4 linked regions of the Saccharomyces cerevisiae S288C genome follow. Changing the gene in region 1 together with any one later gene gives a genetic interaction. Each region holds a gene or a part of one and is shown on either strand. Other genes may lie near its edges.

Evidence for each region.
Region 2: mutations in HAL9 (region 1) and PSR1 together harm fitness more than expected from each alone (negative genetic interaction), as found in Saccharomyces cerevisiae (2 studies listed by BioGRID).
Region 3: mutations in HAL9 (region 1) and PUT2 together harm fitness more than expected from each alone (negative genetic interaction), as found in Saccharomyces cerevisiae (2 studies listed by BioGRID).
Region 4: mutations in HAL9 (region 1) and MDV1 together harm fitness more than expected from each alone (negative genetic interaction), as found in Saccharomyces cerevisiae (2 studies listed by BioGRID).

Annotation. Positions count from the first base shown.
Region 1 is NC_001147.6:149,898-155,335, forward strand, and holds HAL9 (Hal9p), read right to left. Parts: upstream 3,594-5,438; coding exon 501-3,593; downstream 1-500. Other genes in the region: mismatch repair ATPase MSH2, read left to right, coding at 1-379; protein disulfide isomerase MPD2, read right to left, coding at 4,015-4,848; DUF1 (Duf1p), read right to left, coding at 5,390-5,438. UniProt on the Saccharomyces cerevisiae protein: Putative transcription factor involved in halotolerance.
Region 2 is NC_001144.5:126,697-134,350, forward strand, and holds PSR1 (phosphatase), read right to left. Parts: upstream 3,918-7,654; coding exon 2,634-3,917; downstream 1-2,633. Other genes in the region: YEH1 (sterol esterase), read left to right, coding at 1-559; rRNA-processing protein SOF1, read left to right, coding at 827-2,296; copper metallochaperone COX17, read right to left, coding at 4,509-4,718; DRS1 (putative ATP-dependent RNA helicase), read left to right, coding at 5,033-7,291; LMO1 (Lmo1p), read right to left, coding at 7,606-7,654. UniProt on the Saccharomyces cerevisiae protein: Has phosphatase activity in vitro. Involved in the response to sodium and lithium ion stress (but not to potassium or sorbitol stress) by inducing transcription of the sodium pump ENA1/PMR2.
Region 3 is NC_001140.6:178,061-186,013, reverse strand, and holds PUT2 (1-pyrroline-5-carboxylate dehydrogenase), read right to left. Parts: upstream 4,038-7,953; coding exon 2,310-4,037; downstream 1-2,309. Other genes in the region: MSC7 (meiotic recombination directing protein), read left to right, coding at 1-1,139; RRF1 (Rrf1p), read right to left, coding at 1,256-1,948; BRL1 (Brl1p), read right to left, coding at 4,254-5,669; GTPase-activating protein NEL1, read right to left, coding at 5,903-7,795.
Region 4 is NC_001142.9:201,597-209,878, reverse strand, and holds MDV1 (Mdv1p), read right to left. Parts: upstream 4,575-8,282; coding exon 2,430-4,574; downstream 1-2,429. Other genes in the region: chaperonin-containing T-complex subunit CCT7, read right to left, coding at 350-2,002. UniProt on the Saccharomyces cerevisiae protein: Involved in mitochondrial fission. Has a partially redundant function to CAF4 in acting as an adapter protein, binding to FIS1 on the mitochondrial outer membrane and recruiting the dynamin-like GTPase DNM1 to form mitochondrial fission complexes.

The sequences.
Region 1 (5,438 bases):
CACGTTGTTATACAAAGTTGAGCCTGGTATTTCAGATCAGTCTTTTGGTATTCATGTTGCAGAAGTTGTTCAATTTCCAGAAAAAATTGTTAAAATGGCTAAACGTAAAGCCAATGAATTGGACGATCTAAAAACTAATAATGAAGATTTGAAAAAAGCTAAGCTATCATTACAGGAAGTTAACGAAGGTAATATTCGTTTGAAGGCTTTACTGAAAGAGTGGATTAGAAAAGTGAAGGAGGAGGGTTTACATGACCCAAGCAAAATTACTGAAGAAGCTTCCCAGCATAAAATACAAGAGCTATTGCGTGCTATAGCAAATGAACCAGAAAAGGAAAACGATAATTACCTGAAATATATAAAAGCCTTGTTGTTATAATTAATATTACAACGACATCTTAAGTGAGAATCGATAGATAATATATAGATACAAATAGTACATATAATATGCATTGGGAAAGAATTTTTATTTTTTACAATCTTTGTAGACAAGGTACAGTTTATTCATAATCCCTAAAAGTGTTCACGAAAGAATAATCTCTGTCATAGATCAATTTTCCTAAAGGCAATAAGGCTCTAAAAGCTTCGAAATCTTCCTTTATTCCACTGTCACTATTAAAATTAGAATTTTCAGGGGTCTCTAGACCACTGGAAAGAGTATCTCCGGTATCAGAACTATGGATGGGATAAACAAGAGATGTTAGGTCCGAACGAATTGGGTACAAAGATGAGTCATCAGATATTCCTTTCCTATTTGAAGATGGCGATAGGTCTCCAAAATTTGAGATGGGGGAGTGAGATTTTAATAGTTTTAAAATTTCGACTGATAACTCTCCAAATAAGTTTATTGGTGCTTCCTCCGCAAAGTCTTCTGAAGAAATATCATTCGTATTCAGTCCATCATCGGCGAGATCGGCTTCGTTGCCCTTTTGTAAAGAATGGAGAGAACCATATGATTTTAGACTCATAATTAGTTGATCGACTGTTTCATCTTTTATCTTTCTTGAATGCATAATAACTTTCGTTATCGTTTCATCATAAGGTTTAGAATCAAATATTGACGTAGAATCGTTCAAAGCATGATAACGTTGCAAAACGTATTTCAAAAAGTGGCTGTAGAACACAATCAAAGTGTTCCATTTGACATTGTCAAACAGTAACTGCTCATCATTTTCTCCCACTAATCGATCATAAGATTTTTTTAGGATATCGATGATCTCTTTTACCTCACCTTTCTTTTTTAGATCGTTCATATTATCCACAACGTAAAAGAAGAGAACAAACATAGCAGTAGAGAACTGATACATAACCTCGTTATACATATGCGCCTGGTAATTGATGCCTTGAAACAGCTGTAACATTTCTTTACTGGCGTTTAAGTATTGACTTGAAAAAAGAATGAATAGCTGAGGAATATCATGGCGAGAACCTTTGTATAGGCGTTCGTTATCAATCAATAAGGATGTAGTCATCATGCTCAAAATCACTTTAGAATATAGCGCCCTAAAATGACAATTCAAAACACGAGAGCATGCAATCTCAAAACTTAAAGCCGGATTTTCTTGGGATTTTTGAGCGTAAAGTACCGATAAATACTGTTTATAACTTTTTAGTTTCATACTTACGTGCAAGTTGTCTCTCCAATTGTTCAAAGAATCATTGAGATCTTTGATTTTATCAAGCATGGCATCGAATGAAAGATCTAGAGTACTTCTGACAGCAAAACAAGTAGAGTATATTTTACTCTCAATACTAACCAATTTTGAAACATAATATGATATGAAAAGGGATATGTGCTGACAAAAATTTACAACTACATTCAATGCAGAGTTGACATCAGTAATTTTATCGAGATCTTCCTTTTTATCAATAAGATCAGGTAGAATATTAGTTTTTATCACTTCATAATAATTTTGATCTGTTAGCATATCCATATCGCGTTCCCCCACAATAGGGGGTCTGGATAACATTAAAGAATATAGTTTATCTGTACAAAAACAATGCCACCACATTCTTCTTCTCCTTATGGCTTCTTCAAAGTCTAGTGACTTGTAAGAGGATTTTCTATTTAATTCCATGTCAACCGCCAATCTAATCGCGGTTCCTAAAATACAATTTGCTAGTTCAGTATCGTAGGTAAGTTGAAAATATCGGTTCAGTAGTAATAAAGCTTGTAGTGTTCTTGTACCTGAACAGATGGTGGACAGCTTATGATAATAATACATGGCATTTAGTAAGGCAACGTTTTCGATTTTTTTTAACTCTTGGGAGGTTGGATCATATCTATCTTTCCTTAGAAACTTTGAATCACCTCTTATAATTGATTGAGTGGCAGATGCACCCGAGCAGAGACACACGTTTAATAATAAATGTTCAGGATATGTGAGTTTTTCGCCGCTTTCGCTGTAGTACTTTTCTGCTAAGTCTAGACATTCTTTTAACGATATTATACCAGTTACAGAGGATAATAAGGTAGCATGAAAATTCTCAAGAAGTCTCTTTGCTTGCTTTTTCGGAGGTAATGAGTATAATATTATTTCGCTGGAGAAGAAAGCCGGAGATGACAAATCCATAAATTTTTTCATTTGAGTTGCATACCATTTTAAAGATATGCTTAATATTTCGCTGATTGGAGAAAGAAACTCCTCATTGGACGCTTTCACTCCTAAACTTTGTTTGAACCAATAGAGTTTTTGAGCAGTTAAAAGTGCCGTAGAGTATATTTTTCTCGCTGGTTTGGGCAAATTGTTCTTTTCCTTGTATTTGCCTTCCTGCTTTTTAACAGCCTTGTCCAATAACCACTCAAGTCTAGCCACACTGTCAATAATGTAAGACATTTTTCTATCCAATTTTTCAATCTTTGAATTCATTTTTTTGTTAAGATTATTTTGAATATTGGAGACTTTATCGATGATATTGCTTTCTAAGGGGGAATTACCGTTTAAAAGTTCAAACCTTCCACTGTTCGGTACTGAAGAAGACGCTACAGGATTGCTAATACTATTTGAGGTTTGAAGTGATTCCCCTGGTGTTGCATGATGTTTGATTTCTAATTTTCTTTTCTTCTTAAGAATCTCATCACGATGTTTGAAAGTGCAAGGCAACTGAAACTTAATACAGTTTGAACATTTTTTGGTCTGCTGGTCCACTTCATCACATCTGATTTTTCTTTTTCGGCAATGGTCACAGGCCTTTGATACACGTTTCTTGAGATTTTTACCAGAGCCGCTCATATCATTACTGTTAGTGTGTTCCATCATCGTGCTGATGTCACGGTTCTGTTGTGTCTGAAATTGCGACTGATGCTCTGTTGGCGAGTATATTGTATTGGGATAAGCCACATTCATGGGGATATTTGGACCTATTGTACTACCTGTCATAAGGGTGTTTTCTCTGTTAGGCATCGTCATCAGTTGATCTGGCACAGGCATCGACCATATTTGAGTTTCAGGAACCAGACGTGGGGTACCAGTTTGATGGTTTACATTTGAAATGTCACTTCTACCGGTGATTTCATTGTTAAAAACCGCATTCATATTGCTTGCTGAGTTTGAAAACCCATTTGGGCTGTAATCTCCACCTTGATTTTCCATTATTTCAAACCGAAGATTTGGAGTGGAGAGTGCTGATTTCCTAAGTTGAATTAAAGTACGATAATAAGCTCCCTAAGACATTTATTCTTTTTTCGAATTAAAGGCTTTTTATATAAAGCCATCTTTCATGTACGTAATTGGAGATTATACCAAAACCAAACAGGGTAAGAGATGTTTCTCTAATGAATAAAATAACAGTGTTACCTTAGCACAAGCCAATATTCAAAACACATGTGGTAGACCTTCTGTAATATTTATGTATATCTCCATAATCTTTCACCTACACAATCTCACTTATATTGCGGCTAACGTACATTGTTAAATATATATGTATCTGTGTATTTGTTGTACCTCAGGGTGAGGGTCCCGCTTCCGTCTGTAGTCGGTATTCGTAAAGTAAAAGACAGAGCGAAGCTTATGTTCAAAGCTCGTCATGACTACTGGTATCTTCTAACTGGTCTTCTATGTGTGATAATAGGCTCAATTGTAGACGAATGATTTTCAGTTTTTCTTTAACTTCTTTACTCAAGTCATCTCCATTTTGCTTAATTAAAGCTTCTAGTCTTCGCCTTTCCTTTTCCAGCCCATTCACGTCACCGTATAATTTAGATAAAGTATCAGAGTAGTATTCTTTACCAGCTTTACACAGAAGCTGTTGAGAACGTAATTCTTCATTGCAATTCCTAGAATCATCGAAAATATGTTCTATGAATCTTTCTTCTGTATCTTTACTTCTTACAGTATCGATAAAGTTGCTTAAACTCTTTAGGTTCCTACTCCCTTCAAAACGAACAACCCTAGACGTATCCAGTTGGTACTTAGGATTGTTGAACCACGTCTTGATTCTTTGCCATAGTCTTTCATGAAATTTCATAGACGACCAATCGAGCTTCGGAAGAACTAAGGGCTTAGTACGAGGTTTGACCAGTTCAATTATTGGAAATCCAGGCAAGTCGGTACATAAAGTTGGCCCGAAGAATTCACAGTTAACTTCAAGGAAGTTAATTGGGGTATCATCTTTATTAGCTTTTTTGGCGTATAGCTCACCAAGCTCTTCGTATACTGGGGCCAGAGTTTTACAATGTTGGCACCAAGAAGTGTAGTATTTTATCATTGTGTAAGAATCATTCCTATTGCAGATATCGAAGTACTGCTCAATCGACTTGACCATCGTGACAGCTTCACTGTAGGCCAACGCTGGTAAAATGACGACGCATGTTGATAATACGGAAAATAAAAAGCCGTGCAATTTCATCTCCTTTGTGTTTTACTTTGCCGACGTACTTGCACTAGACTCGCTGTGTTTTTTTTCTGTTGTTTTGTTGTTATGCTGTTCTTTAGCTCAAAAAATTGGCCACTGTTCCCCGCTCTGTAAATTAATTGCTCTTAAAGAAACAAAAATGATTAAAAAAAATTAGAAATATTTGAGATAATAAGAACATCATTCAGGTCGCCCATATTCACAATTATTTACAGACTGTATTTTAATGAAGAATGTGTGCATAACTTGATGGTACCTATTCAATATAAAATTTGATAAATAAATAATATTATAAAAATGTCTATGTAATTATTATAAAGCTCTAGAGTATGTATGAGTTGTTACACATAGCATTCCAATGAGTACTTGCTTTTTTCTTCGTTCTTTAGACATTTCAGAAGAATATTCTTTATCTTGTCATTGTTACTGCAACTACTATTATAGTATTATTAGTATTATTGTTGGTATTGTTACTATATATTTACGCTTAAAAACTCCAAATTCAGACCCCAAAATATAATTTAAATAAACATTATCATTTCCCCTCATTCCCGTTGACCTCATGAACTAGCGGTGAATTATGT
Region 2 (7,654 bases), on another chromosome or scaffold:
TGAGATAATGATGATTGTAAGAAACTTGTGCGTTGGTGAGAGCTTGTTCTCCTTTGTTTGTTACACCATCTTCAATTACCTGTTTGATTGGAACGATACCCTTTGGGATACCGCATTAAGAGATCGCCATTTCCTGTTTTCGCCAGTCCATGTTTCAGTGAAGTTGATGCAATGGTGGCTGTCACCCGACCCCAACAAGGTAAGTTTTAAATTTGGTTCCCATAAGATGTTCCCCGACAATGTTAAGTGGTTTTCAGACGCATCAAAGGCCCCAAATATCTACTTGTTTGTTCCAAAGCAAGATAGATTGGTGGACGGAGAAAGACTAATCAATCATTTCGTCAATGTGGAGTCGAATGTCAACTACAAGATCTGGTACATTGATGAGTATGCCCATATTGATGTCCTATGGGCACATGATGTCATAGAGAGAATTGGTAAACCAATTTTACAGAATTTGAACAACTATTACTCCAAGAAGCCATCCAGCGCCTTTGAAAGTGATTGTTCGGACACAGAGGTGGAAACGGAGCTGGAAATGGTTGCTGAGAAGGCTTGAAGAGGAAGCATGATATATAGGTTAATATAAATTATACTTGGGAATACATAGATAGAGGGCTAGTAAATTTTTAGTTTTTAATTGTTCTTTTTTTTTGAAGTATTGTGTCACAAATTGTCGGGAGTTGGGACATCACCGTGCATAACGATACATTTTTTTGAAAAATTTGATATTGAAAAAAAATCGATGAGTTTGAATTACATTACAGTTGTATAAAGCAACCGCATTTCATTAACGTAGTTTGACTCGCGAAGATAAGGCGTTAAAATGAAGATTAAGACCATTAAAAGAAGTGCTGATGACTATGTCCCTGTTAAAAGTACGCAGGAATCTCAAATGCCCAGGAATTTGAACCCTGAATTGCATCCTTTTGAAAGGGCACGTGAATATACTAAAGCTTTGAATGCCACCAAATTGGAAAGAATGTTTGCTAAACCCTTTGTGGGTCAGTTAGGATACGGTCATAGAGATGGTGTTTATGCTATTGCCAAAAATTATGGTAGTCTGAATAAATTGGCTACTGGTTCTGCAGATGGTGTGATTAAATACTGGAACATGTCTACTAGAGAAGAATTTGTTTCCTTTAAGGCGCATTATGGACTCGTTACTGGTCTTTGTGTGACACAGCCTCGTTTTCATGACAAGAAGCCAGATTTGAAGAGCCAAAATTTTATGTTATCTTGCAGTGATGACAAAACTGTCAAGCTATGGTCAATAAATGTTGATGATTACTCCAATAAAAACTCCAGTGATAACGACTCCGTTACTAACGAGGAAGGTTTGATTCGTACTTTTGACGGTGAATCTGCATTTCAAGGTATCGATTCGCACAGAGAAAACTCCACGTTTGCCACAGGTGGGGCCAAGATCCATCTTTGGGACGTTAACAGATTGAAGCCAGTTTCCGATCTATCATGGGGAGCAGACAACATTACTAGTTTAAAATTCAATCAAAATGAAACAGATATCTTGGCCAGTACTGGTAGTGATAATTCTATTGTTCTTTACGACTTGAGAACCAACTCCCCCACACAAAAGATTGTTCAAACAATGAGGACGAATGCTATTTGCTGGAATCCAATGGAGGCCTTCAACTTTGTAACTGCCAATGAAGATCATAACGCCTACTATTATGATATGAGGAATTTATCACGTTCATTGAATGTATTCAAAGATCACGTCAGCGCAGTAATGGATGTTGACTTTTCTCCTACGGGGGATGAGATTGTTACTGGTTCGTACGATAAGAGTATCAGAATATATAAGACGAATCACGGACATTCGAGAGAAATTTATCATACGAAGAGAATGCAGCATGTTTTCCAGGTTAAATATTCCATGGATTCTAAATATATTATCAGTGGATCTGATGATGGGAATGTTAGGCTATGGAGAAGTAAAGCTTGGGAGAGGTCTAATGTCAAAACTACTCGTGAAAAGAATAAATTAGAATATGACGAAAAATTAAAAGAAAGATTTAGACATATGCCGGAGATCAAAAGAATCAGTAGACATAGACACGTGCCACAAGTCATCAAAAAGGCTCAGGAAATTAAGAACATTGAGTTGAGTTCTATTAAGAGAAGAGAAGCTAATGAAAGGCGTACTAGAAAGGATATGCCATACATTTCCGAAAGGAAGAAACAAATCGTTGGTACCGTGCACAAATATGAAGATTCAGGAAGAGATAGGAAAAGAAGAAAGGAAGATGACAAACGTGATACTCAAGAAAAGTAGTTATTCTGTTTTATGTTGTCTGTATATACACATATGTACAATATTTGCATTTTTTTAATTTTTAATTCACATGTATTTGATAAATGTTCACGCCAGTCCCGTTAAATTAAAATTACCATTTTATTAGATTATGAATTTATATATGAATACATTGTGTCGTAATGGTAGAAGAAGTTGAAAAAAAAAATGTCAAGGGACAGCATGGGTACAGTGTGTTGAGCCAAAAAAAAAAAGAAAAAAAAAGAAAAAACTTTTTGTTCTCTGGTTCTTTTCTTCATCTTCTTCATCTTCATTCTTTGGTAGCGGGGGCCACAAGAAATTCGGGCGAAAGTGCTCATTATATTGTTACATCCAAAATTTTGCCCACATCCAGTGAGGTTTTCACAGAAAGGTCTTCTAAAAGAGGAATAATATCTAATAATTCGTTATCATGAGTATCTGAGAACCAGGACGAAATCGGTATTGCATGTTGGGGATGAAAAATATAAGATGCCGGAGAGTTATCGAGAATGATGATATCTGATAACGGCCTTCCAATCTGGGATAAGTTTTTTATATAGTTTCCTTCATAGTTATAGCAAGCCTCTCTGAATAATCTGTGATGAATGACTTTATCTGTGTCTAATATATCAAGCAAAGGATCACCGTATCGAGAGACACTAGCCGTGAAGACTACAACCTCGAATAATTTTCCGACTCTTTCCAAAAATTCTTCCACACCAGGTCTTTTAATGACATAGACATTGTGTACTTGGTCATCTATTTCCACAGACAAAACAAAATCCGCAGATCGTAAGTATTTGAAAGAAGAGTGTACCAAGGTTTCATCCAGGTCCAGTATTAGGCATTTCTTGCCCTTTGTACTTTCATCTTGTGGGGGGAGCAGAGTGTTGTAACCTGGTGCATGATACTGGCCCTGCTGCAAAAGCGTTAGATCAATATATTCTTCATCTTCATCGTCTTCGTCGTCGGCATCGTTGGAAGTTTCACTGGCTTGAGAGCTGCTACTTACCCTACTCAAATTCATATCTTGGATAAGATGGTCAGACGATACTTGTACAGTAGGCCCTCGCTGCTGCGACTGCGACTGCGACTGTGACTGTGACTGTGACTGGGGTTGTGGTTGTGGTTGTGACTGTTGTTGTTGTTGCTGCTGTTGTTTTTTCTGCCTGGAAGTATCTTTCACAGCATCTCCTTTTTCCTGTACAATGCCACGACTGCGACGGTTATCTTCATCGTCGATCTCTTCATCTTCGTCAACCTCGTATTTTTCCTCGTAAAGATCATCTTTACTAATTCGCTTCTCTACTTTTGTCATATTATTAGTAGTAGTGGCGGTGACGGCTGCAGTCGGCGACGATGGCTTCTTTTTTTCATTATCGTTCGTGCTTATCCCAGATTTACCGGTGGATCGTTCAGTGGAACTGAAAGTAGCGGCTGAATTTGTCTTAGAAGGAGGAGAGTTTGTCTGATGTACGCCACGGGTTCGGCTTTTCGTGTTGGAATGTTTAACGCTTCTGTTTTTATTGAGAGAACTGCTCTGTTGTTGGCGATAAGCAGAATTGGAATTGGATTGTGTCGTCTCGGAAGAGCAGCACAGTATTGACGATATGAAACCCATACTGTTTTGCTACTTATTGTTGTTAAAGCTTACGAACACGAATGTAGGCAAATAAAAAGCTTGGATAAACGCACAATGAAAGGGGAAGTGCGATTGATTATGCTATAAGGAATGACACGAAGAGAGCAGACTATAGGCTAGGCAGGCGATAAAGGAAGGAGTTGTACTTGACGACAACGTAATAAAGAGTTCAATGAAAGAGTATTGTGAGCAGTATGGTTCAACGAGCACTTCTTCTCGACACCTATTTCTATACTTTTTCACTTAATATACACTAACTAATCCCAGACTTTTTTTTTTTTCCGTTCTTTCCAGAAAAAAAAGAAACAAAGCAAGCGTGCCCTGACTTAGGGTTTCCTAAAAAAGTTATTAGGTTTGTGTCACGTGATACGTCCTTTTCTGGTCACGTGGTCTTAGAACACTCTTAAGGGGCCAAGCACAAGAGGACAGTGCTAGCAGTAGAAGTGGTGTAGTAGTGATGAGGTAATGTTAATTGTGCATCGCACATATTTACAGGTAGTATATACTATAGTTTGTGAATACCTATTCTTATATATACAAGAAATGGTTGTCGGCAGACTGTCAGTAAGACTAATTTGCACTTGGAACTTCGAAGCCATAACCCTTCATGCACTCTTTGTACTTTTCAATGAATTCCTTGCATTTTTCAGAGTCTTGTCCATTGAATAAGATGCATGTATCCCGCTCCTCCTTTTCTGGCTTACAAACGCAACATGGCTTAGGTTTGTCCTCGCACTCCGCGTGGTTTTCTTGTTCTTGTTTCTTGTCAGTTTCAGTCATTGGGTATAATTGATTGTGTAGTTATCTGATTGTGTACACTAAAATTTTGTTTAGTTGTACTAGAGACAAGTAGTTAGGTGGTTACTAGATTCTGATTCGCCGCTATATATCGTCATTTTATCTTTTTTTGAAGGAGATAGGTAGGGTTATAACATTATCCGGGTAATGATTTGAAAAAAAATTTTCAAAAAATGCGATGAGATGAGGTTGAAAATTGTAAGTTAGAATATGCTTAGATAGTATGAGTATTTACGTTGGTAACTTGGGTTTCGAATTGGAGCTGTGTGCCTACAACAGCGTCTTATATATATACTATGGTGGTAGGAACTAAAAAATACTCTAATTTGGACTTTGTCCCTACAATCAGTGACAGTGAAGACGATGTTCCAATTCTAGATTCTTCTGATGACGAAAAAGTCGAGGCTAAGAAGACTACGAAGAAGCGGAAGGGTAAGAATAACAAGAAAAAGGTTAGTGAGGGGGATAACCTCGATGAGGATGTTCATGAGGACTTGGACGCGGGGTTTAAGTTTGATTTGGACGCCGATGATACCACTTCGAACTTCCAAGGCTGGAACTTTCTAGCAGAGGGCGAGTCCAATAAGGACGATGCCGAAGCTTTTGTGAAGAAGGACGTTGACTTGGATAAGATTATTAGAAGAAAAGGTGGGCTGGTGAAAATGGCCCATATTGATAGTAAACAAGAAGAAGAAACCGAGAAAGAAAAAGTAGAAAAAGAAAACGATAGCGACGATGAGGAATTAGCAATGGACGGGTTCGGTATGGGAGCTCCCATGAACAATGGAGACGAAAATCAGTCAGAAGAAGAAGAAGAAGAGGAGGAAAAGGAAGAGGAAGAGGAGGAAGAGGAGGAACAAGAAGAGATGACGTTAGAAAAAGGCGGCAAAGATGACGAAATAGATGAAGAAGACGATTCTGAAGAGGCAAAAGCCGATTTCTATGCGCCTGAAACTGAGGGAGATGAAGCTAAAAAGCAAATGTACGAAAATTTCAACAGTTTGTCTTTATCTCGTCCGGTTCTTAAGGGCCTTGCAAGTTTGGGTTACGTCAAGCCTTCCCCTATTCAAAGCGCCACAATCCCCATTGCCTTATTGGGTAAAGACATCATTGCCGGTGCTGTGACTGGTTCCGGTAAGACTGCTGCGTTTATGATTCCCATAATCGAGCGTTTGTTGTATAAACCAGCCAAAATCGCTTCCACCAGAGTTATTGTTCTATTGCCCACTCGTGAGTTAGCTATCCAAGTCGCTGACGTTGGTAAACAAATTGCACGTTTCGTCTCCGGTATAACCTTTGGTCTGGCCGTTGGTGGTTTGAACTTGAGACAACAAGAACAAATGTTGAAATCTCGTCCGGACATCGTCATTGCTACCCCAGGTAGATTCATTGATCATATCAGGAACTCAGCAAGTTTTAATGTGGACTCAGTAGAGATTCTGGTTATGGATGAAGCCGATAGAATGTTAGAAGAAGGTTTTCAAGATGAACTGAACGAAATTATGGGCCTATTACCAAGCAATAGACAGAACCTATTGTTTTCTGCTACAATGAACTCCAAAATTAAAAGTTTAGTTAGTCTTTCTCTAAAAAAACCAGTAAGGATTATGATTGATCCTCCAAAGAAAGCTGCTACTAAGTTGACACAAGAATTCGTTCGTATTCGTAAAAGAGACCATTTGAAGCCTGCCTTGTTATTTAATTTGATTAGGAAATTGGATCCAACGGGTCAAAAGAGGATTGTCGTTTTTGTGGCTAGAAAAGAAACTGCTCATAGGTTAAGGATTATCATGGGTCTTTTAGGTATGAGTGTGGGTGAATTACACGGTTCTTTAACCCAAGAACAGCGTTTAGATTCCGTTAATAAATTCAAAAATTTGGAAGTTCCTGTACTTATCTGTACGGATTTGGCCTCCAGAGGTCTTGATATCCCCAAGATTGAGGTTGTTATCAACTACGATATGCCCAAGAGTTATGAGATCTACCTGCATAGAGTTGGTCGTACCGCCAGAGCTGGTAGGGAAGGTCGTTCCGTCACCTTCGTCGGTGAATCATCTCAAGATAGAAGTATTGTACGTGCTGCTATAAAGAGTGTAGAAGAAAATAAGTCCCTAACTCAAGGTAAAGCACTTGGTAGAAACGTAGACTGGGTTCAAATCGAAGAAACAAACAAACTTGTTGAATCCATGAACGATACGATTGAAGATATTCTGGTGGAAGAAAAGGAGGAGAAGGAAATATTAAGGGCTGAAATGCAATTAAGAAAGGGTGAAAATATGTTGAAGCATAAAAAGGAAATCCAGGCAAGACCAAGAAGGACATGGTTCCAAAGCGAATCAGATAAGAAAAATTCCAAAGTATTAGGTGCTTTATCAAGGAACAAGAAAGTCACTAACAGCAAAAAGAGAAAGCGTGAAGAAGCTAAGGCAGATGGCAATGGTGCACGTTCTTATAGAAAAACCAAAACCGACCGTATTGCAGATCAAGAAAGAACTTTTAAAAAGCAGAAGAGTACAAATTCAAATAAGAAGAAGGGCTTCAAAAGCCGTAGGTAATAATTTTCATCGTCATTATCATAAAATATCAACATACTTATCACTGTCATTATATTATTAATACTTTGTATTTAAATATCATTAATTCATCTAATAAACAGGGGATTAGTCAAAAATTCCTTTTTTTTTGTTGAATCTGTAGAAGTGAGTATTAATAAACTGCAAGCTATATGCTATATTAAAAGGATTTTTCAAGTACAAACGAACTGAATGGAGACTCAAGCTACTTGCGGGAAAGAATTACAAAATTACATTCCATTCTAGTAAAAAAAAGTTATAAATAAAAAAAAATCGTCTGACGACAAATTTGTATCTTAATCAAAATAAAAATTTTGGGTTACTTTCTTTAACGTTTCCAAGTTA
Region 3 (7,953 bases), on another chromosome or scaffold:
ATGCCATTGTAGTAAAATGTTCAGAACAAGTTGTCTGGTCTTCGGAATTTTTCGTCGAGCTGATCCGCAAATGTTTGGAAGCTTGTGATGAAGATCCAGATTTGGTTCAGTTGTGCTATTGTTTACCTCCAACTGAAAATGATGATTCCGCAAATTATTTCACCTCTCATCCTGGTTTCAAACATATCACTTTTATTGGCAGTCAGCCCGTAGCGCACTATATTCTAAAATGCGCTGCCAAATCATTGACACCCGTAGTTGTGGAGCTTGGTGGTAAGGATGCGTTTATTGTCCTAGACTCAGCTAAGAATTTAGATGCTTTATCTTCTATCATCATGAGGGGTACTTTCCAATCATCCGGTCAAAATTGTATTGGTATTGAGAGGGTTATTGTCAGTAAGGAAAATTATGATGATTTAGTCAAGATTTTGAATGACCGTATGACTGCAAATCCACTACGCCAAGGGTCTGATATTGATCATTTAGAAAATGTTGATATGGGGGCAATGATATCTGACAACAGATTCGATGAACTAGAAGCTTTGGTTAAAGATGCTGTTGCAAAGGGAGCTCGTTTACTTCAAGGTGGTTCCCGCTTCAAACATCCAAAGTATCCACAAGGTCATTATTTCCAACCAACTCTTTTGGTGGATGTCACTCCAGAAATGAAAATAGCACAAAACGAAGTGTTTGGCCCAATTTTAGTCATGATGAAAGCTAAGAATACTGACCATTGTGTACAACTAGCCAACTCTGCGCCATTTGGTCTAGGTGGTTCTGTGTTTGGTGCGGATATCAAGGAATGCAATTACGTCGCAAATAGCCTACAAACTGGTAATGTAGCCATTAATGATTTTGCTACATTCTATGTTTGTCAATTACCATTTGGTGGTATCAATGGTTCAGGTTACGGTAAATTTGGTGGTGAAGAAGGTCTTTTGGGTTTGTGCAATGCCAAAAGTGTCTGTTTTGATACTTTGCCTTTTGTCTCCACTCAAATTCCAAAACCATTAGACTACCCTATTCGTAACAATGCTAAGGCTTGGAATTTTGTAAAGAGTTTCATCGTAGGAGCTTATACAAATTCCACATGGCAAAGAATAAAGTCACTGTTCTCTTTAGCTAAAGAAGCCAGCTAGTTTACTTTAGAGGAAGCAACAAACTTATCAATAATTTGGTATTTATTATTATATAAAATGAACTTTTTATGTACAAGATTTATGATTTTTTGATTCTATACACGTTACGAAATTCCTCATTTTACAATGCTTTTTTCAACTTTCTGGAATTGGTCATGAAGCTTGTTCACGTAATCCTTATGCAGTTTTTCCAAATCCCTCTCAGCTTTTCGAACGGCATCATCCTTTTTGAAACTTTTGAATTCCTTTAGAATACTGCCTCTGATAGTTCCTAATGAGTCTTTTAGCGATGACTGCTTATATTCTTCAAATACTCTCTTTAAGTCTTTAGCTACTTTTAACCGGGATTCTGTAGTTGGTGGTGGTAACGAAACTTTCAATTGCAAATCGTTATTTGGGACCCTTTCAGGAGTTAAATTCAGGTTCGCAGCAAGCACCCCACTGATCACAGTTTTCACATCTTTGGGGTCGAAAACTGTTATTAAAAGTGCATTTTTACCTTTCAAGGATGTGGTAGCAATATCTGTAAACTTTCTGTTATTTTTGAACACTAAACTATTGAATACCTTAGGATTAAAATTTCCCTGTTTTATCTCATTCATTTTCTGTTTTTGAATTTCTAAAGTTTTTTTGAATTGAGTTTCTGCCTTTTTCAGCAGTTCATTCACGTCAATTTCATCTTCTTCGACTTTCTCAGTAGGGGTAGAACTTTTTTTCTTCAAAATTATGAAAGATTGACTAAAAGAACGATTAAATAGACGAGGAACGGTGACTGGTCTACAATTTAATCTAGCTGTGGTTAAAATCATTATTTCTTGCTGTTATTTTTCTTGTCAGGGACTGCTCGCCAAAGTTTCCATCTTTAAGCTTACGAATGGACGTATTTAATAAATTGATGTTCTGTTTCCGGACGGGTCCTTATGCCAAAAACAGAATGAATATGCGGCGAATAAATAGCAACGTGAATAAGTAAGTCATGACAGAATATAGAACGGGAATTTGGACGGTTGGTTCAATGAATATTTTTAAACTATTTACCTAGATAAATTAAAATTGTAAAACTAAAAAAACCTAATGAAGTAATCAAAACCCTTTTTTCGATAATCTAACATTTACATGAGTTGATGGATGAAGTGACTGCATTCGCGGTTCTATTCCACAAAAATTTTTTTATTCATAATTCGATGGATATTTGAAATCAGTCAACTCGTAGAAGTTCTCCTTTGTGTTTCTAATACTGACAAATCTGCTTAAAATGTTTGGACCACCAGCCTTATCGTCGGTACCACTCATTCTTGCGCCACCAAACCATTGCTGAGAAACAACGGCACCAGTACACTTATCATTTATGTAGAAATTTCCTGCGCTAAACTTCAACTTCTCATCTGCGTATTCAATTGCTTTACGATCTTTGGCAAAAATAGCACCAGTTAAGGCGTATTGACTCGTATTATCGATAATATCACAGATTTCATTAAATTCAGTATCTGGATACTCGTAAACAGTTAATATAGGGCCAAAAAATTCTGTTGACATATATGGATGATCTGGTCTCTTGGCTTTTATGACTGTGGGTCCGACAAACCAACCTTGGCTTTTATCGTATTGTCCACCGTAAAGAATTTCCAACTCGGGGTCTTTCTTTGCATCTTCAATTACTTTAACTAATTTGTCGAAACTTTGTTCATGGATGACAGGACCCATAAATCCCCGCAAATTCCCACCAGAAATTGGACTTGCGGATGTGTTCATTGGGACAACATTCTGTGACTGCAATATGCCAAACATATCGGATAAGAATTCTTCACTTTTTGACTCTGGAAGATATAACCTGGAAGCGGCAGAGCACTTTTGGCCTTGGAACTCGAAAGTGCCTCTAATAGTAGAGAGTACTGCATGTGATATATTTGCACTTGGGTGAACTAGATGGAAATTTTTACCACCTGTCTCACCAATAATACGGGGGTAATCTCTGTACTTCCCTTCAACAACGCCACTTTGTATTTTGCCATACAAACTCTTAAAGACATTTGTAGAACCGGTAAAATGCAAGGCACCAAAATCTTTATCAGCTAATACCTGGTCAGTAACTTGAACTGGATCACCTGGAATGAAATTTATGACACCCTTTGGCAATCCCGCTTCTTCCAAAACAGTCATCAATAAGTAATTTGAAAGGGCAGCGGTTTGTGAAGGTTTCCAGACAACTGTATTACCCATCAAAGCTGGAGCCCCAATCAAGTTTGCAGCAATAGCAGTAAAGTTGAATGGTGAAACAGCATACACAAATCCCTCTAAAGGTCTGTATTCAGCTTTATTCCAAGTACCATCCGCTGACTCTACGGGTTGTTGAGCATACAAGTCTGATGCATACTTGACATAGTATCTAAAAAAGTCAGATAATTCCGTGATACAGTCGATTTCTGCCTGATACACATTTTTTCCCTGGCCCAGCATTGTAGCAGCTAACATGTCATAACGATACTTGGTGGAAATTAAGTCAGCGGCTTTCAAAAAAATTGCAGATCTGTCATAAAACGGTAGATTGTACCAATCCTTTTTGGCATCCTTGGCGGCTTTTACAGCATTCATGACATCTTTTTCCGTGGCTTGTGTGACGTTTGCCAGTACTTGTTGATGGTTCGCAGGGTTAGTCTGCGGGAAAAGCGCTCTTTCATTATTGTCATATATCCTTTCCCCATTGATGACCAGTGGCACTTCTAAAGAAGAACTTTTGAATTTCATCAAGGAAGCCCTCAGTAAGTCCCAGTCTTTTAAGTCTATGTTTCTAAATGGCTTAACAGGTTCATTTCTTATGTGCTTGGGGGGCTTGATGTGTCCCAGTTGTGAGAAAGATCTCTTGAAGTATATAGATTTGAGGCACCTTGCTGATAGCATAATTCCTGTGAATTTGAATTGGCCTTCTATACAATATAGATTATATTAACTTGTTTGTATTATTACATATTTTCCATGGATATACTTCTGGAGTAAAGTCAGCTGTCCTGTCACCCTTATATAGTAGGCCTATCCAATTTTTGTCGGCTTCGGAGTTGGCTTCCCGAGATGTCCGATGGCGTAGATAAGCATTGTTACTGTCCCAGATAGCACAATCTATTGCTTAAGTAGGTGTGAGTCCTCTCCAGATGCTGTCATAGATGAGTGTGTTTCTTCTGATGTCGGCGATTTCGGTGAAGATGGCAAGGGATATGTTTTGATGCCATTGCCATAGTAGCTCTTGGCTCTTACAAAACCCAGTAAGAAATTCGAACTGAAACACCAAGTTATCACACCACAAAAAATAACAAATAGTGTTTTCCAGTTTAATGGATCTATGAATGAGTTGATAATGTCTCCGAACAATTTTGCGCTCAACGTTGATCTTGCACGGAAAAAGATATCGTTATTTCTGTCCATACACTGTTTCCATATAGCACATTGTTCGCCCAGAGCCGGCAAGCCAGGCGTCTGGTTACAACGATTTGTGAGGTACTGCTCTTGACAAATTCTGGATTCGTACTGCAGTTCATGTTTTCTTTGTTCCCATGTGGATTTCAAGTCCTTTTGAAGCGCTATGATAAATGAGAGTATAAAACTAAAAATCACTACTGTAGTGATCGCATTGAGAAATAACTGTAAATATGACATTAGGGCATATGACGCTCTTGATGCCGGATGTGAATTGGGTGACCATGGTTTAGGCAACTTGAAAGCTTCATTTTGGTCGTAAAATTCATCTATTTTATTGTGATTTGGTTTAGTAAGAGAATAAGTTTTAATGCCGTCCTTATCTGAATAGAAGTAGTTGTGTGTATTGAATGAAACCTGAATTGGTTGATATTTTGATCTTGATCTTAATTCCCTCTTGATTATTTCCGAATCGAACGCATTTGCGTACTGGCTTGACTTGTGGTTGCCAAGTGATGATTTGATCTCATCTTCGACTTCTTCATTTCTGATTATGTCTTCACCCTCTGCGTTGTTATTCGAACTTTCATTGTCATCTTGATTGGCCGATGGTGGTAATGGCACAACACCTTCAACTTTAGTAGCTGCGGCCACACCTAAATCGGTCGGTGATAATAATGCCTTTATGACAGTTGAACGATGCGGTGAAACAATGTTCTCGACCTCTTCTACACTTTGGTCTTGGCTTTCATTCTTCTCTTGCTTTTGTCTTTCTTCTGGGGTAGCCTCGATTTCTTCCACCACGGCATTCTCAGTCGCTTCAGTATGAGTTTCGATTGGCTCGTTATTATATTCTTCTTCAAAACTTGTATCATCAACCTCATCTATTTCCATTCGGTCATCTTCTTCCTCATCAGCTTTAGCAGCACTAAAATCCAATGTATTTCGCAGAGGTGATGGGCTCGAGGGAAAATGGGGCATAAATCGGTTGATAAGCTGTGGTGACAAAGTTGGCCCCTGCTTAGATATACTTAGGTCGGAGAGGCCTCCTAACTCCTCGTCAACGTGTTCCATTCCGCTAGTGAAACTGTCTCTTATGCTCAAATTTTCAAAACTTTCCATATGGAAGATCCTATATAACGTTATAATACAACTACTCAATAAGCAAGTATTGCGATAAACAAGCGACTATTTGATGAGATGCTATACCTTTGATGAAATTAAGGGCCCAACTTGCTTTTGTATCTTCTATTGTCTTAGGGAATTTTGCTCTATTTCATCTAAAGTTTTTTTTTCTTTACTTTTTGTTTTCGCCAATACAGGCGTCGCAAAGTGCAGCAAGAATATTTAGCGAGTTATTTGCTTCCACTTAGATCGGTGAACAAGTTGAAATATTCATTGAATGTCATATCCTCTGTACCAAGAGTTTCCTTGTCAGTGATGTCCAAGGGAATAATTTTGCTTTTCAAGAAACGGTCCTGACTGCCACCGGTTTTAGTTTCAACATATAATGGCTGCGGAAACCTTTGCAAGTCATTTAAAAGCTTGCAACAGAGCTCGCGACCTTCTTTTTCCAAAAGTTTTCCCCTTCTTAAAACTAAGTACGAGCCACCATCTACACAAATGGTGGTTTTATCATCTTGAAGTATCTGGGCTCTTGTTAATGGGACATCCAACACGATCCAGTCGTGTTTCAAATCACTGTAACTCCAGATGAAGGGTTTGCATAATGAAAGGCATGTGTCTTTAGAAGCGTTTATTATTCGGTGAAGAAAAAGGTACCTTTCATCAGGTGAAGTATTCCGAACCGATAGAATTGGAGACCTATATATATGATAACACCACTGTATCAGATTGACCATATCTACGTCTTTTCCCCGGATTTGATTTGGTAATAGAAACAATTGCTTCATCAATTCTTTAGTGTGCTTGGATGAGTAAGCAAAGCTATCGATAATTCGTGAGGCTATCTTTTTCATTGAAAACACAATTTCATTTTGTGCCCCAAATGATCTATTGGCTTTTGGCAATAAGAGGGTTTCAATTCTTATGTATTTTTCCGTTTGATTTTCAAAAGTGGTTTGAAACTGTATAGGAGCTTCAGCTGAATTGTGACCTAGTGAGATTTCTAATGGTAGAGAAAGGTTTTTAGGGTTTAAGCTATATTTTGGGAAGTCCTTAACGACAATAGCGTTCTTTGCGGTCATTATCTTTGAATGACAATTGTAAATGGCATTATGGTCACGCAAGTTCAGGTACTTTTGAAAAGACATTGCGAATCTCTCATCATTGAATGAATCAAACTGAGAAACTGCCATTGACGAAGTTATTAATGGACTCATTTCGAGTATACCGATTTGATCCAATGAAGCTATAAAGAATTCATAGATTAACGATTGGTTTGCAAATTTTTCAAGCATTTTCTTGTAAAATTTTGTCGGACTTTTTGATAGTTGCAATTGTGAACTTTTGGATTCAAAATGGTGGTTTTGTCTCATGCTTTCACCACGTTCTCTTGACATAACTTTGCCGCCACCCTTAGTACATGGACCATTCAGGAATGAAACTATATGACAGTAGGCTGACAAACTGCACTGAGACGCCAGTACGGATGAAACGAACAGCGCTAATCCGGTGCAACGCTTGTCCCTTTTAGAACTGATATTCACTTTGTTTGCAATCTTGCATATTTCCCGTAGCAATTTTCTTAAAGAACCCTGAGTAGATTTATCAAACCAGTATGATTCTTGATTGATTTCTGAAATTTTTTTCTCGAAGTAACTGGCATTTAATTTATCAAGATTATATTTGGTCATAAATTCATTTATTGAAAATACAGCATCACGTCTGTGATTCACAGCATTGTGTAAAATCACATGACCTGATTGCTGAATAGTAATTATTGATAGTGGCTCTTGTTGTCTTGTGATGTAATTATTACATAGAATGGAAACTAAATAATTTAGCTCATGAGGATCGCAAATAGCGTCTATAATCATAATGGTCCGTCTTGAAAGTATTTCTTTCTTTGCAGAAGTCAATGTATAGGTGTTGGAAGGTACCAGTGGCAATTCAGCATTTGAGTTTGATTGGTTGCAGAATAGACAAGTCCAAACATTCTGTTCTCGTAGGGAACAAGCCATCGAATAATAGGCGCCACATTTGGTGCATTTTAGATTTTGGTCATAGTTCTGCGTCACAGCATCGCTGGAAAAGGGCTCATATAAGAAATTAGTTGGAGAACACATAGGCACTTCCTTGGCCAAATTTGGTGCTAGATTGCAGTATTGTACAAATACAGGATTCAGTACCTGATCACTATTTTTACTCTTGATATTTTTTTTCCTTAAAAAAAATCAGAAGACAATAATGATAGAAAAAAACTAGGAATTCTTGAATTCATATG
Region 4 (8,282 bases), on another chromosome or scaffold:
TCATCATATGTATGCATATATAAATACATAGTAGCATAATCAGTTGCAAAACAGGGTTCTAATCGAATATTACGTACATTTTGCCGAAGAAATGGAATGCAGCTGCATGACATCCAACCCGGATGACGACCAATGATATGATTTGTTTCTCGGAGTTTTCATTACTTCTTTCATTTTTCTTTAGACCTAGAATTACTTTAAGATACAGAGTATACAAAAGAAAAGAATAAGGTTTTATCAATACAGTATTAACTTATTTATGATTGAAAGAAATTACCTTTGATGCAAATAACTACTGCAAAAAGAGTAATAATAAAATGTATGCAGCACATGTTTTTTAGAGTGTTAATTACATTGGCATACCTCTCCCTCTTCCAGCCCCTTGGGGAGGCATCATGCCAGCATTGGCACTTTCACTACCTTTATTAGTGATCGTCTCGTCAACAGATAAAATCAAGTTAGTAGCCTCTGTGGCACTGTTCAAAGCATTGATTTTTACTAAAGCAGGTTCCCATACGAATTTGGCAAAATTATCGCCAATATTTTCTGTTTCAAAGACAACACCATACCATTTCTCACCTTTGCTGTGAGCCAATCTTAGTTTGTTTAATATTTCTATAGCATCAAACCCAGCATTTTCACAGAGTTGCCTTGGAATAACTTCTAAAGCCTTAGCGAAGGCATTGATTATCATTTGTTGCTTACCAGCTATGGTTTTTGAATAATCTCTCAAGCATTTTGATACTTCCATTTCTGTAGCACCACCACCAGCAACGATCAGTTTATTTTGTAACGCTCTCTTAACTATCATGATTGCATCGTGCAATGATCTCTCAACCTCGGCAATAACTTGCTCAGCACCTCCTCTTAATAATAATGTACATGTTTTAGCTTGTGGGCAACCTTGGAATAAATTGTAGCGTTCTGACCCGATTTGCATTTCCTCAAACAAAGCACAAGTACCCAAATGCTCTGGTTTTATATCTGAAGTAGTAGATTGTATAGAGCCTCCAACAGCTTGGATGACACGATTCATATCATCTGCGCTCACTCTACCAGCGCAGAAAATATTTCTATCAGCAAAAAATTGAGTAGCCAAATCGCCGATAGGTAACTTTGATAGTACAATATTGGCACCTGTTTCTTCCACTTGTCTTAGCTTTTCAAAGATTAATTGCCACTCCGCATCTACAATAGCTTGGTAATCTTCAACATGTTCTACACGTACTTCAGCATTGTCTTTCTCTGCTTTCAACTCCAGTTCTACATTCAAACTTAAAATTTTAGGATTGTTGAACTTTTTGGGTTGCTGTTCAAATCCAGCATACGAAAATGTCTTCTTAAAGGCGACACCGTTGATGAAAAGAGATTCTTCCATAGCACCACCTGGAATTTTTTTAATACCTATTAATTTGTCATCCAAATCGTTTCTATCAAGGGATAGCACGGCGTCAACACACATTTTAACAAAAAAATCTGCATTATTATGAATCAATTTCGACGACATTGCAGTTCTAGCACAGCGTTCAAGTAATTCTCTGCCACTGCTTTTCTCTGAAGTAATATCCACAGCTAATTCGTTAATCTTCTCCACAGCTAAAGAAACGGCCTTTCTGTAGCCCTTCATAATCAAATGAGATGAAATGCCTTCTTCCAAAAAGGGCTTGGCTTCTTTCATTAACTCACCAGCTAAAATGGTTACACTAGTTGTACCATCACCCACCTCGGCATCCTGAGCTCTAGAAATATCCACTAAAGTTTTGGCAGCAGGATGTACTACATCTAATAATTTTAGGATCGTGGCACCATCGTTAGAAATAGTAGTCTTTTGATTCGATGTCACAATTAAAATATCAGAACCTAAGGGACCTAAAGTTGGTTTCAATGCCTCTTGGACTGCAACACAGGCATTGATATTAGAGATGATTTGACCTTTACCTTGAGATGCGTCTGTTCCCTCTTTTAGAACCACAATTGTAGGTGTTTGGCTTCCAAAGTTCATTTTTCCGAGTTGTATGTCTCGTGATTCAGGTACTACTTAATATTTGCGGCTAATTCTCTGTATTTGAAATCATTTCGACAATTTGGCATCTGCTAACGCTTAATAACAATTATTCATTTTTTTTTTTTTCAATAGCAAGGATGAAAAAGTCGCCACTTAAATATTAATCATTATTCACGAAAGTTTTCTTTTTCCGGGTAAGGATAATGCAGGTATGGTGATTGCTTCCAAGACATCTGTAGTAATATGACAGGGCAACATCTACAGCACCGATTTCGCTGATAAACCATCCAAGGTATTGACGATACTTTATTTACATTCCAGAACGAATATTTATTTATATATATCTGAGCGAGCAGCTATTCACATATGCACTCGATATTTATTTTTCTTCAAATGGGTTGACTTGATTGCAATGCAATGCCTATCATACGGCCCAAATATTTACGTCCCCATTTTCACGACCCTCAACCATGTAATTTTCTTTATACTTAACGGTACTAACGCTAGTCTCGTTACCTTGTTCGACGCAAGACCAGCTTTCATCCTTTTCGCTATCGTATATCTGGACACTTGGTTCGTCTGCGACAACGACTGCAGCGTTCTCTTGGAAGAGATCTAACGAAAGAACTGGCGCACTGTACGCATGAAACTTATTCAACAACCCAGTTCTTAAGTCCCAGATTCTAACTGTTCTGTCGTATGAACCTGTGACCAGGCACGCGGAATCAAATTTTAATGACGTTATGGCATCTGTATGCCCTTTCAAAGTACGAATCACCTTTCCGGATCTTAAATCCCATAGCCTTACAACACCATCTTTTGTACCCGTTGCTAGCGCTGCATCAAAACTTTGTAGTGCACCTATACTAGGCCTCTCATTTCTTTGAGTAAGAAGTGTGCTCTTTGATAAATCGACATTAGTGGATGTTGTTAAGACATTTGCAAAGCTCAGATCAATGGTTTGCAAGCACTTCCCGGAACGTAAGTCCCATTGCCTAATTGTTCTATCCTGTGAACCACTCACCAAGAAACTAGGATCTAATGATAATGCAGTAACCTCATCTGTATGCGCCTCAAATGTATGAACACATGGAGAATCAATATGATTTGTAGGAGAGGTAAGATTTTGCGTTTCCTGGTAAAGTTGTTGAGCTAAATTCAAATTCCATAATTTTAAAGCCGCATCTCTACCACCAGTAACAAGAGTTCCGTAGTCACGATTGATTTGCATACAATTAATTGTAGCAAGATGTCCTGCTAGTTCTCCAATTTTGTTTTGTTTGGATAAATCCCAAATTTTTACCGTGTGATCAAGATATCCGGCTGTACATAAGGTACCAAAGGGCGCATCAAAATCTAGGCAAGTGAGGAAATCATCGTGAGTGGACATTATAGAGCCAATTTTTGTTCCTGGCTCGTAAAGCTGCTGGAATGTTGGGAAGCTTTTTCTGTGTCTTTTTTTGGATTTGCTATAAAAGGCACCTAATCTATTCAATGAGTTATCGTCTCGAAGTTGTTGCCTTCTCCTTGGAGGTAGATTAGAAGCCTCTGATGATATGCTCTCTGTGGTGACACCCTCATTTCTTATAGCATCATTTTTAAGGGCCTTTCGCTCACTCATACCATCATCTTCTGCATTTTCGTCGCTATTAGCTTCGATCACCTCCAATCCGTACTCTTCTAAAAAGTCCAACCTATCATCAATCTGTTTGAGGTTGTCTTCCAATAGTAATTGATTTTGCTCTATGTTCGCAATTTTACCCAACAGTTTCTCTTTCTTTTGTCTCAGATTCTCAACTTCAACTTCAATGTCTCTTATTTCGGATAACGTAGAATTTTTCTGAATATTTAAAAACTCTAAACTATTTACAAGAGTTTGAGAAAAACTTTTTAATGCACTAGGAGAATAAGAGGAGCTTATTTTTTTAGTTTCTACCCCAGGCGGTATGAGAAATGAATCTTGGAAGTTAGGAAGCTCTGTGTGAATTTCATCTCGCTCATTTGTTTTAGACATAACATCTTTCGCACCAACCGTACCGCTTGTACCATTTGTATCATAGTTTAATCTTTCAGTGTTTTCAATGGCAAGCTCCGCTATTGGTAGGTAGCTTTTAAAGCCCTGAAACAGCGATGTTTCTTTTTTGGATGCGTTCTTCCTGAGATTTTCATTTTCGCCTCCTTCGGTTAGAAGCTTGCCATCTGCATCACTTTTGAGACCTTCCTTAGTTGGGATCTCGTTCAACAAATCATCACTTATGTACGTGAGCATTCTGAAGCATGTTTTGTTGTCTGTGAACTTGTTCCTGAATACATCGCCCCTTCTTGTCTTGGAGTAAATATCCTCAAAAGTGTTAGATGCATTTTTTACAAAGCGACCGTGTTCAGTCCTCTTGTAAAAGTATGAAGTTGAGCTCGCATTGTTGACGGTATTTGATAATAAATTCTTATAAGGCCCATTATTGGTCAGTACATCTTGAGTGTTGCTGTTCGATTTTTGGTAGTTTAAAAAAGCGGAAGCCGTTGTGGACAATGTTTTTCCTATATGAGTTATTTGGTCGTTCACTGACATTATTTGTCATTATTTGCTACTAATTGGAGCTCTACGAAGGGTTTATATGGTTGTACTTTCTGTAGAAAGTTAATTTCTTCTCTTGTTTACGCCGTCTTTCCTGAGAAAATCGATGTGAAAGTAGTTCCGCCTGTCAAAGTTGAGCGAATTCCTATCGGACGGAAAAGTCCGATGAGCGACCACATTAAACAGGGATACCAGGTCTGAGGAGGACTGTACAATGTAGGGGGAAAATACTCAAGTATGCACTCACTGTCAACTATTGGTTCCAAGTCGCTGGAAAGAAACTCATAGCTTCAAAATTTAATAAAAGATAATAGGATTACGTAGATGAGCCAAAAAAAATAAAAAAAAGGAAGTTCTGCAGCATGTTCAAGGACGGCTTGGTCGATTGTTTTTCTGTGTCGTAGAAATAGTCTGAATATATATCATCGGTATCTTATACCCTCATTCAAGGTGGAAATTGTACCAGAACAGTCATCAAGGGCCAAAAAAAATCTCCGCGACGGGGAATTGAACCCCGATCTGGCACGCGACAAGCGCCCATTCTGACCATTAAACTATCACGGATTTTTATGTTGTTTTGTGAGCGTGTTTAATGTATCCTTCACTATTTGAAAATATTTTCTCGACCTCAATACCAAATCAAATGACCTTTTACGGTCGTCAAAATGTGTTTCACCCTATAAAGTGAGCTTAAACACTTTAAACATCTCCTCTATCGGTTGTGCTGTACGGAAATAAAGATCAACTTATCAGGATAAATTTTAATAATTAGTATTTAAAACGTGTAATTCGGTTTCTGTATAACGCCAGTCACATTTCTCAAAAGATATATTACTATATGATGTAAACATTAGATTTATTAGAACTGGTAGCAATTAATATTTTAATCAATACTGATGTGAAATCTGAGATATGGGTGGATTTTGAAATAATTGTTGGAATCCTGTTGTTGATAGAGGGTATAATATTAGGTATACAGAATATACTAGAAGTTCTCCTCGAGGATATAGGAATCCTCAAAATGGAATCTATATTTCTACATACTAATATTACGATTATTCCTCATTCCGTTTTATATGTTTCATTATCCTATTACATTATCAATCCTTGCACTTCAGCTTCCTCTAACTTCGATGACAGCTTCTCATAACTTATGTCATCATCTTAACACCGTATATGATAATTGTTGGAATAAAAATCAACTATCATCTACTAACTAGTATTTACGTTACTAGTATATTATCATATACGGTGTTAGAAGATGACGCAAATGATGAGAAATAGTCATCTAAATTAGTGGAAGCTGAAACGCAAGGATTGATAATGTAATAGGATCAATGAATATTAACATATAAAATGATGATAATAATATTTATAGAATTGTGTAGAATTGCAGATTTCCTTTTATGGATTCCTAAATCCTGGAGGAGAACTTCTAGTATATCTACATACCTAATATTATTGCCTTATTAAAAATGGAATCCCAACAATTATCTCAAAATTCACCCAATCTTCAATAATATATTGATATGTTGATAATTAGAGGTTAAAAATTAGTATTAATGAAGAAGTGAGTACTGATCTTCTTATACTAAATAAGAGAGGTATATAAAACACACGCCGATTGGTCATATTAATTATGACCAATATAATAGTGATTCCGGTAGTTACTATACATTGATGTGACGACTCATATTCCTCATATATGTACCTACCATAACATGTTCAACTAATAGGTCTTTAACACAGCTTCAGTATTGTCTGAGCTTCTCGTTTAACATTCCTTCTGCAATAGGCGCAATCACACTTAAACGTATACGAGTTGTACATTAATATACGATGTAAGCATTAGATTGTTACCATAGCAACTCATGTCACTATTAATTACTCTCGTTCCAACATGCTCCCTTAAAGATATATTATTGTACTTCAACAGATATTCATTGTGTGTTTAGAACTTCATTAATTAATTATCAATAGTCTGTTGAGGCCAAAATATCCTGTGATGTTATTTTATTTTTTAATACTTGTATAAATCTTTTAAAATCAGATGCTGATACTGGTTTTGTTAGTAAATCAGCAATATTACCTTTGCCGGTAATTTTTAACAGTTTTATACTCTTCTCTTTAATTTTTTCTTTTATTATTTCAGTTTTTATCCAAGTGAATTTCTCTTTTGGTTGTTGATAGCTGCGATTTAATCCTTGAATGGCTGGCTTTGAGTCAGTGATCATGACAATGTCATTATTGTCTCCTTCTCCTAGCTCCTTTAATGTTACCTTCAACGTTTCTGAGTCTGCATAGCCTTCATAAATGGCATGAAGCTCTGCTTCTGTTGATGATACACATCTGTTTGTGCTCTTGTTAGAATAAACATTAAAAATATTCATACCGTACCATAATATAACTCCAATCCTTGATTGAGCATCATATTCTGATCCAACTGATGCATCAGTTATAGCAATAACCTTTTTGTCTTTATTACAGTCTCGGTCATAGTGTATTCCAATATCTTTATACCGAACCAAGTACTGGATTATTTTGTAAATCATATAAAAGACTCTTTCATGTGGGTAATTTACTAGTCTAGCCACTTTCTTAACAGCAAATTCAATGTCGTATCTGCATTTGTGTCTGACATAGTTTAGTTCACCTAGTAATTGTTGTAGCTTTAGAACACCTTGTCTAAACTCTTCTTCTGACATTTGCAGTACGTCTTTCTTAGGATCTATTTTATAAGTTGACATATGCGGAATTGAACTTTTTCTAATCTTTTTCAATTCCTCGTTGTATTTTTTATCCATTCTATTTATGAATGATTTTAATGTTAAATCGATAGTACCAAGTCTTTTGTTGTATACTAGATCCATTCCTAATATATCTGTATCGAGTACATCGTCTATTAATGTTCCTGTAATTTTCAGTTCAAAATTACTTTTCAATTTGTTTATGAATTCATCCAATCTCTGTTCATTGCTTGCCGCAATTACGCAGTCATCAACATAGACTGCAATCATTAGATTTTTATCCTCGGTTTGGTATAATCCCGGAGTATAAGAGTTATCTTTCAGTCCAATTCCATTCAAGTATTGTCTTAGATGATCATTCCATTCTTTAGGACTCTGTTTTAGACCATATAACGCCTTATTTAGCTTGACTACACATCTCCTATCATGCGGATGTGGGATGTATATTTCTTCTTCCAATTTAGCATATAGGAATGCATGATTGATATCCAGGGTCTTCATAAACATATTTCTGTTGTTTGCAATCATTAAGAATATCTTAATATGATTGTGATTTAAAGATTCTGTAGTTATTACACTGTAAGTGTCTGGTGACTGAGTATCACCTCTGCAGACTATCCTAGCCTTATAAATCCCATTTCTTTTCTTTGTGAATATCGTGTTGGTGGGTACTATTAAATTATCAGGGATTTCTGATCTACTGTACTTCACATCGACATCAAATACCTTCATATCTTTTAAATTCTGTAATTCTTTATGATATGCCTGTTTGTATTCATGTTTTTCTTTGAGGTCAGGATTTTTTGAAATAGCTTCATTATAATATATGGCTCGAATTTTTGGTGCTGAAACTGTTTCCATATTATCTGGAATTAATTTCACTCGATTCTTTTTTGAACGCTTCTTATCTCTTTCTAATTCATAGCTTGTTAGACTATTGTTTTTATCGTGTCTT